Linked DNA regions of Danio rerio. The protein of the gene in region 1 interacts with the protein of each later gene in a pairwise test. Links are inferred from orthologs where the notes say so. Each region holds a gene or a part of one and is shown on either strand. Other genes may lie near its edges. The genes, in order: p4ha3 and zc3h12aa.

What was found.
Region 2: the proteins of p4ha3 (region 1) and zc3h12aa interact in binary tests that used the Homo sapiens proteins (3 or more experiments, as listed by UniProt). The two-hybrid records come from large-scale screens. The link is inferred for Danio rerio from reciprocal best matches to the Homo sapiens genes P4HA3 and ZC3H12A.

The regions. Positions count from the first base shown.
Region 1 is NC_133190.1:16,744,352-16,748,176, reverse strand, and holds part of p4ha3 (prolyl 4-hydroxylase subunit alpha-3), read left to right. Parts: intron 1-429; coding exon 430-507; intron 508-663; coding exon 664-715; intron 716-881; coding exon 882-1,045; intron 1,046-3,825. UniProt on the Homo sapiens protein: Catalyzes the post-translational formation of 4-hydroxyproline in -Xaa-Pro-Gly- sequences in collagens and other proteins.
Region 2 is NC_133191.1:4,213,668-4,217,868, reverse strand, and holds the end of zc3h12aa (endoribonuclease ZC3H12A), read right to left. Parts: intron 2,079-4,201; coding exon 1,177-2,078; 3' UTR 754-1,176; downstream 1-753. UniProt on the Homo sapiens protein: Endoribonuclease involved in various biological functions such as cellular inflammatory response and immune homeostasis, glial differentiation of neuroprogenitor cells, cell death of cardiomyocytes, adipogenesis and angiogenesis.

The DNA.
Region 1 (3,825 bases):
ACTACTGTTGTTCCTAAAAAAGTGCTTTATAAACCATAAAGATCGACTGGTAGCAGTTAGATATCAATCTTAGTTAGATAGATATATATAAGTCCGGTGTTCTGTCGATTTGTCTAACCTTGTGAGATTGTCCTACCTCCCATTCAAAAAGTAGGTAGCACATTTTGATAACACAATATGCCACCCATCAGAATTCGGTACCAGAGTAGATGTGATTGGGGAATAGTGTGATATGAAGCTGTAATATACCCCTTACCTACTAAGTCCCTAACCCCAATATCAGAACCTTTCAAATACAGTGTTGGTAGCATAATCTGATAGGTAAAATAAAATGTCAGGACACCTGTTGACTAAAGACCCAATTATGTAATGCATTTATGGATTAAGCGTTTAAAAGTCAGTGAGTGGGTGTACTGTATGTATTCACAGGAAATCAAAAACCAACTCAAAACTTGGATAACAAGTCCTCACAGGAGATGCTTTTTCCAAGCAGATCTAAACAGCAAGGTATCTTGGCTGATCACATAAGACTGATCACGCAAGATTTGAACACATGGTGCAAATGGGGCAAAATATTTTTTTACTGATGTATTTTGAAATACAGTGAACATTTTAGACTTGTTGAGTAACATTTCTAGGTTTTGTTTTGTTTTTGTTTTTTAGACAGGAAACATATCCCACGCCCTCAGTCTCTCCCGGGAACTATTGCTTCATGGTAATCTTCTGCAGTCTTCTAACAGACACTAGCAATAAGTGACATAGTGAGAAACAAAATAAAACAAATCCATTTATTTTACTTGTTTCAAAACTTCATTTGTAAAATTAAATAATCTGGGAGATTTTTCAAAAATTAAAAATCACAAAGTAATGTTGTTTTCAAGATCCCATGAACAGAAGGGTACACTTCAATGTGGAGAAGTACGAGAAACTCCTAAATGAAAATCTACCTGCTACTAGCAGTGGTTTGACTTTGAAAAGGCCCGACGGCATTTATTTGAGAACCAGGAATGCCTATGAACAGCTCTGCCAAACCAAAGGATCTCAGGTACCATTTCACTTTTATATTTGTTGTACCTTATGATTCAGGGCAAGATGATTTATTTCACATTTATCATGAATTGTTCTATTCAATACCATATGTTAAAAATGTTAAACTGCCCGGCTCTAGACAGTCTGCAACATAATCAAGAATCCACGCCACCAATCGAATAATTCAGAAAAGGAAGAATTATTAAAGTAATTAAAGTAACAAGGTCACATAAATAATCTTTTAAACGAAGAAAAATGCTGGTGCTGGAGGAGACCGATCAGGCACCCTAAATCAAGGCAACAACACAAGCTTCTCTCGATAGAACAAATGAGGAATCCTTTTATCATGCGTTTATAACTGGCAACGCAGCACAACTGTAATCCACTTCAACCTGCCCACATAATGGAACAATTGACCACAAAACAATAGTGCCATATAGTAAACATCCCATCACCAGCAAAAGAAACGCAAAAACAAACCAGTAACAAAAATATTTGTGCATGTATTAAACTGTTAAGCGTTTATGATAGCACATACTGCTATAGAAAATAATAATAATAACAATCATAAGGCAACACGGTGGCACAGTGGGTAGCTCTTTTGCCTCACAGCAAGAAGGTTGCTAGTTCGAGCCTTGGCTGGGTCAGTTGGCCTTTCTGTGTTGAGTTTGTATGTGTGTGAATAAGTGTGTATGGGTGTCTACACACAGAGAGAGGGAAATTGTACCACAGAGAGTCTCGGAGTCTCATCCGAGAGTCTCATCCTAAAGACAGCACTCACTGAGCAGTACAGAGTCCCCATCATTATACTGGGGCATTAGGACCCACACAGACGACAGACCCCCCCTGCTGGACTCACTAACTCCACTTCCGGCAACATACTAGCTTTCTCATGTGGTCTCGCATCTAGGTAATGACTGGCACCGCTCTGTTTACCTTCAGTGGGCAACCATATGAGAGTTACAGACAGCTAGCTGCCGGTATTATGAGACAACTCGACAATTCGTAGTTTCTCTGTATTTAATGGATTTATTACTCTGTAAAAAAAAATCAGGGTTCCACACAAAATCTCCATGTTGTCCCATCACAAATTCACAAATTAACTTAATCGTTTTTACAAATTTAAGTGATCTGAATATAAAACAAGTAAGCTTTCCCCCTCCTTAAAAAAACTTTGTTGTTTTAACAGATTTTAAGTAAGTTGAACAAGCAGCAAAAATCATTTGAGTCTACACTGTAAAAAAGATGCCTGCAAAATTGTTGGAAACAATTTAAATGTGTTTAATTTAAAAACTTTTTTGTTTAAATTTAGCCCAAATAAATTGCTTACAACCACTTAACCTTAAAAAAAAAAGGAAATCCAAGGAATCAATTATGAATTATTTTTTTTCAGTGTAGGAGGGTTAAATATCATTTCCTCAAAATGTCCAATATATAATATAAAAGTTTAGTCAATTAGATCATAAATCATTTTTCCCAAGAATTTTTTTTTTAATTGTAGTGATAGATAATCATTGATAAACATTCAGGTTTTTTTAATATTCTGATGTTAAAGCATTGGTATTTTGTTTCTAAAAATTAATACACAATATCTGGGATTGTACATAGCGCTTATATTATATAGAAATGACAAAAGCTTTATATAAAATTTGTAGAATTGCCATCAATGTATATACTATAATTTATAAATGTTTGCCATTTTCAAGTGGTGTATTTTTTTTTCCATAGCTGTAGTAATTGAAAAGAATTCAGACATTATTTCAAGAATAATTGCTATTTTTGATATGGCCTCCATATGAATAGGAAAACAAATTGAAAAAGTACAAAAACACAAAAGCCGCAAAAAGAAAAGAAGTGAAAAGAAGAAGAGTTATGGCAGATCCTGTGTGGATCTTAGTTAAATTCCTTATGAGATCAACTGAGAGAATTTCCTGTACTTAAAATTATATGGCCTGAATTTTGGACCATGGAGAAGGTCTTATAAAATAAGGAGCTGTTGTAAATCTTAAGTATGTAATTTCTAATGACACTTAAAGGAAATTCAATCTGTTTGTTTTGGCTGCTTAAATCAACTTGCTCAACCACTAATATCAATCTGGTATTTGTTTTTGAATTTTGTTTGTGTATATTCTGTACTTTCTGCATTACTAATAATAATTTATAACAAATTAATTTCAGTTTACACTTCTCTATTGCTTTGCACTGTTTAATGAGCAAATAATTTCATTTTAGTTTATTAGGATTAATTAGTTATAAATCAACTTAAAAGAATAGTTTATAAAAAAAAACTAAATCTGCAGTTAAATTACTCACTCTCAGATGATCCAAGATGTAGGTAACTTTTTTGTTCACTAGACTAGAGCATTAAAAAAAGATCACAGACTGAAACTGTGGTTCTTGCTGATTGTAAAGAGTCAAGGACAACGGAGGTGAAGATCACAAAGGTTACTAAAGTAACCCTTGTTCCCCGAGGAGGGGAACGGAAATGCTATTAGTGGATTTGATTTTAGGAAAATCCACGAATTGGGAGGATTCGGTTCAGAAGCAGCTTGTCTGAAAGAGTATGGAACAGGCCAATGAATGCCAATGAATTGGCAGCGTAAGCTTGCGCAAGTGTGCTTTATTGCCAATTAACCCAGCATATAAGCCCATGTGGAGCATGCAGACGCCATCCTTTTTAAGCTGAAGAGACTTAGCTAACAGCTAAGGGACAGTCATTATGGCGATGGAAAATAGCATTTCCGTTCCCCTCCTCGGGGAACGAGGGTTACTTTAGTAACCTGAGCGTTCCCCTTC
Region 2 (4,201 bases), on another chromosome or scaffold:
CTTCTGCCGTCTTTCGGTTGTTTTCACACCACACTGCTGGCTTTGGTCCGAACCAGTTGAAACAAACCAAAATGCAGTCATCTGACAAAATCCACATCTCTCATTGGCCAGATGTTGTCGAACATATTTCCTAAACTGCTTATTGATTGGTCAGAATTCACGTGCGGGAAAATGCCAATGAACTCCCGCAGGTAAACAAAACCGGCAGACACAAAATGTCGCTTTTTACTACGAAGGGACGACTGCGCTGACTGATTGTATGCCTGCTGTAGACAAGCTATACATTTCGAGAATGAAGCGCGGCCGCGGCTGGAAAACAGTGTTTTAATGCATCGCTCGTCACTTCAGGAGGAGGCGTGAATAAATTTAGCTAAACTGCGACATGGTCATCTTGCGGAAATATTACCATCGATCCATCATGTTTTCCTCTCTCTCTCTCTCTCTCTCTGTTGGTAAAGCGCTGTCAACAAATAGTTTTCTTCCATACACTGAAAAAAGTGTTGCATGGAGAACTGTTGCAAACAATTTAATTGTGTTGAATTTAAACAATCAAATTAAATTGAATAATGTTCAACTTAAATTGTTTGTTTAAATTCAACACAATTAAATTGTTTACAACCACTTAACGTAAAAAAATTGAGTAAATCCAAGGAATCATCTTTGAATATTTTTTTTCAGTGTATCCCATAATGCAAAGCGCATCGGCTTACGGCAGCTGAATTAGTCCAAAAGGCGCAGTACTTTTTGCGGTTGGACCTGTTTTAGTACGGATCATATTCTCACCACAATCGAACCGCTCCAGGGTACGTTTGAAAGCGTACCGAGACCACCTCTTCAAGCAGGTCTCGGTACGCTTATTTGGTCCGCTTTTGGTGCGCACTCGAGTATGATTGCTGCATTCTCACCTGCCCAAACGAACCGCACCAAAAGAAAAAACGAACTCTAGTGCGATTCAATCGAACTAAATAAGGCAGGTGTGAAAGCACCCTTAAGCAACTATGAACCCTTTTAAAAATAAAACACAAGGCTGTTTCTTTAAGGGAATTTCCTCAGGCTCAAGCTGTTAGTCCCCTTATGGCAAATATTTTCATGCATTCCTCTAGAGAGTGCAGAGACTCACTCTTTTTTTAACATCTGCCATGCAGTCTTTTTCTGTGATCCACAAGTTTTAAACAATCAGAAGAACTCTCCGCTGGATTTGAGTTTGAGAACTTCTGCAGCCAGCTGCTGTGCATCTTTCAGCTGAGGGAACATGTCCATAACTTTATTTACATGACGTGGGTTAAAAATGGCATAAAGCTTCTTCCTGACCTCCTCCCTTTCTTCTTGGAAAGCGTTGGACTGTGTCATGGCTGAATGCTGCTGGCTTCCGTAGACACCAGCAGACTGGGAACTACGGCTTGTTAAAGGCTCTGCTAAACCGGTCGCCTGTGTTAAGTAGTATGGGTAAGACCAGCCACCACAAGCAGGAAGACTGTAACTCTGGACAGGGTTAGGCAGAGGTAGAGAGCTGTAAGCAGTGTAATTTGGCTGAAGGCTGGAGAAATGACTAATGTTGTTATAATAATGGCCACCAGCAGGTACAGCAGGATTACCAGGCATTGGGGGATGACCAGATCTAATCCTGTGCAACTCATCAAAACTCTGGGATTGCTCTGAAAACTGGCTTTCGTAGGACCCAAGCCCAGAGTCGGAACTGAAAATGGATGGGTTTTTTGAATATGGTGCATGCAAACTGGTTCTGTCTCCCAAAGCACTGTATTGTCCAACCGGTGCAGTATTTAAGGGCTTTTTCATGGACATAATATCATCCCAGTAGTGGAGCAAGACATCCCTGCTGTCAGAGCTCTCGGGCTCCAAGCTCAGCTTCTTTTCCAGTTCTTGCTCCAGGGAGGGAGAGCAGGATCCAGGATCGTTTCTTGGGTATACTCCTCTTAGGGAACCAGAAACTCTGCAGTCCTCTTTAGAACCAGACAGTCTGGCATTTTCCCGAAGCTCATCGGCTAGAGAACGCTGGGATTGATTAGTGCGCTCTGGGTGGTAGAACTTACACTTGATCCCATATGTGCACTTTTTTCCTGAGGAGAAAAAGACAAATGTTTGCATCAGAGTTCCAACAGAATTTATTTTCACACCTAATCACAGCTACCTAAGAAAGATGACCAAGGTTTCTAGAAATTTACAGATATGATTCCCATCCTTAAAGGGATAAATTACCTCATAATTCTGTCATCATTTACTTATCCTCAACTTGTTTCAAACCAGTTTGAGTTTCTTTACTTTGCTGAACACAATCGAAGGTATACTTTTACATAGTATTTTTTGTTTCTACTATGGATTTCAATGGCGGTTTTTACCAACATTGAATAGCGTTGTCAAAAGTATCAAGTTCGGTACCAACTGGTATTCATTTATTCATTTTCAACTGCTTTTTCGGGGCCAGGGAGCAAGGGCAGCAGTCTTAGGAGAGAACCCCAGACTTCCCTCTCCAAAGACATTTCCTCCAGCGGGATCCCGAGGCGTTCCCAGGCCAGCCAGGAGACATAGTCCCTCCAGCGTGTCCTAGGTCTTCCCCAAGGTTTCCTCCCAGTGGGACATGCCTGGAACACCTCCCTAGGTAGGCATCCGAAACAGATCCCCGAGCCACCTCAACCAACTTTTCTCAATGAGGAGGAGCAGCGGCTCTACTCCAAGCTCCTCCCGGGTGACAGAGCTCCTCACCCTATCTATAAGGGTGCGCCCTGCCTCCCTCCCCTTTCGGCTGCTTGTATCCAAGATCTTGTCCTTTCGGTCATGACCCAAAGCTCATGATCATAGGTGAGAATAGGAACGTAGATTGACCAGTAAATAGAGAGCTTTGCCTTTCGGCTCAATTTGTACTGAAATAAAAATAATAATAATAAATTCCTGCTAACATTTAAGCGCTGTTTAGCACTTAATTACTGCTGATTGTCCATTGTATTCACACACTCAACAGAAATGACTGTGATTGGCTGTGAAGGTCATCAGCTCACTACTCTTTACCAAGTGCAAACACAGATACACAGACAAAAGCCTTGTACTGTATATCAGTTGGTCCATCAGCAGATCCCGAGTACGTCAGCTCATTGACAGATCAGCTGATCTACGCGGCTTTTCTTTTTGCCAATTAGCAGTGTTTAAATAGACACACAAATGTTAGCGCGAAATTGACATTTTTAAAATTTTGTACCAAAACGTACCAAACCTGATACTTTTGACCACCTAGATTATCTTGTTTCGGGTTCAACCAAAGAAAATAAATACATGAACATTTCAAACCACTCAAGCTTAAAGTAAATAGTGATTTGTTTTCTATCCCTTTAATAACTATCCAACAGAAAGAGAGCAGAAACAGATTCTGTGGTGTAGTTGTCACAAAAAAAAAATACAAAATGACTTTGAATGCTAAAAACAGGGCGAGTAGCTAAATGACTGCAATTACAGTGACGGTGTGAAGATTCTGCAAGACATGGAGTATTTTTCTGAAGAATTGGCTTGACAGTTGTAGATCAGGTAACCTCACACATTACCAAAACGTGTTCACAAGCTACTGCAGGGAGTTATTTGAATAATTTCAGCTATGTTTTTGTATTGTTAGACATGTCGCATGTTTTTTATTGGCATAATGTCTGTCTACTTGTTGCTTTGGCACACTCTCAAAGAACAGTTGGGTAAGTGATTTCGCCATCATAAGAAGTTACTGGAAGGGCTTAAAAATAATAGACATGGACACTAATAAAACCACTATAGTTAGAATAGATGTAGTAATGTTTACAGCTGTATTAGGTCTTGGTGATTCAATCCATTCCACCTCCATTTAGGTTTTGGGGCAGCATTATTATACACGGCACAATGAGGCACAGAAGTGTTGTATAAGTGCCTTGAAAAATGAATTAAAAAAGAATTTAATAACTTAACGCTACTTAAAATCTATAAAAATCTCAATGCATAGGTAATAGAAATGACACCCATTATGTTTTTTAGATCGGAGTCAGACATGGCCTAGAGTCAAACATTAGCATTTTATAAAATTATGCTCATACATTATTAAAACAAACATTATTTAGTTAAGAAAGAATTACTCTGCATCCTATTTACTAAAATATGAAATGTTTCAAAGCAAAGACCCCATATTATATAATTTCCTTATCACTGAATGGAAGCTTATCACTTGCCTACA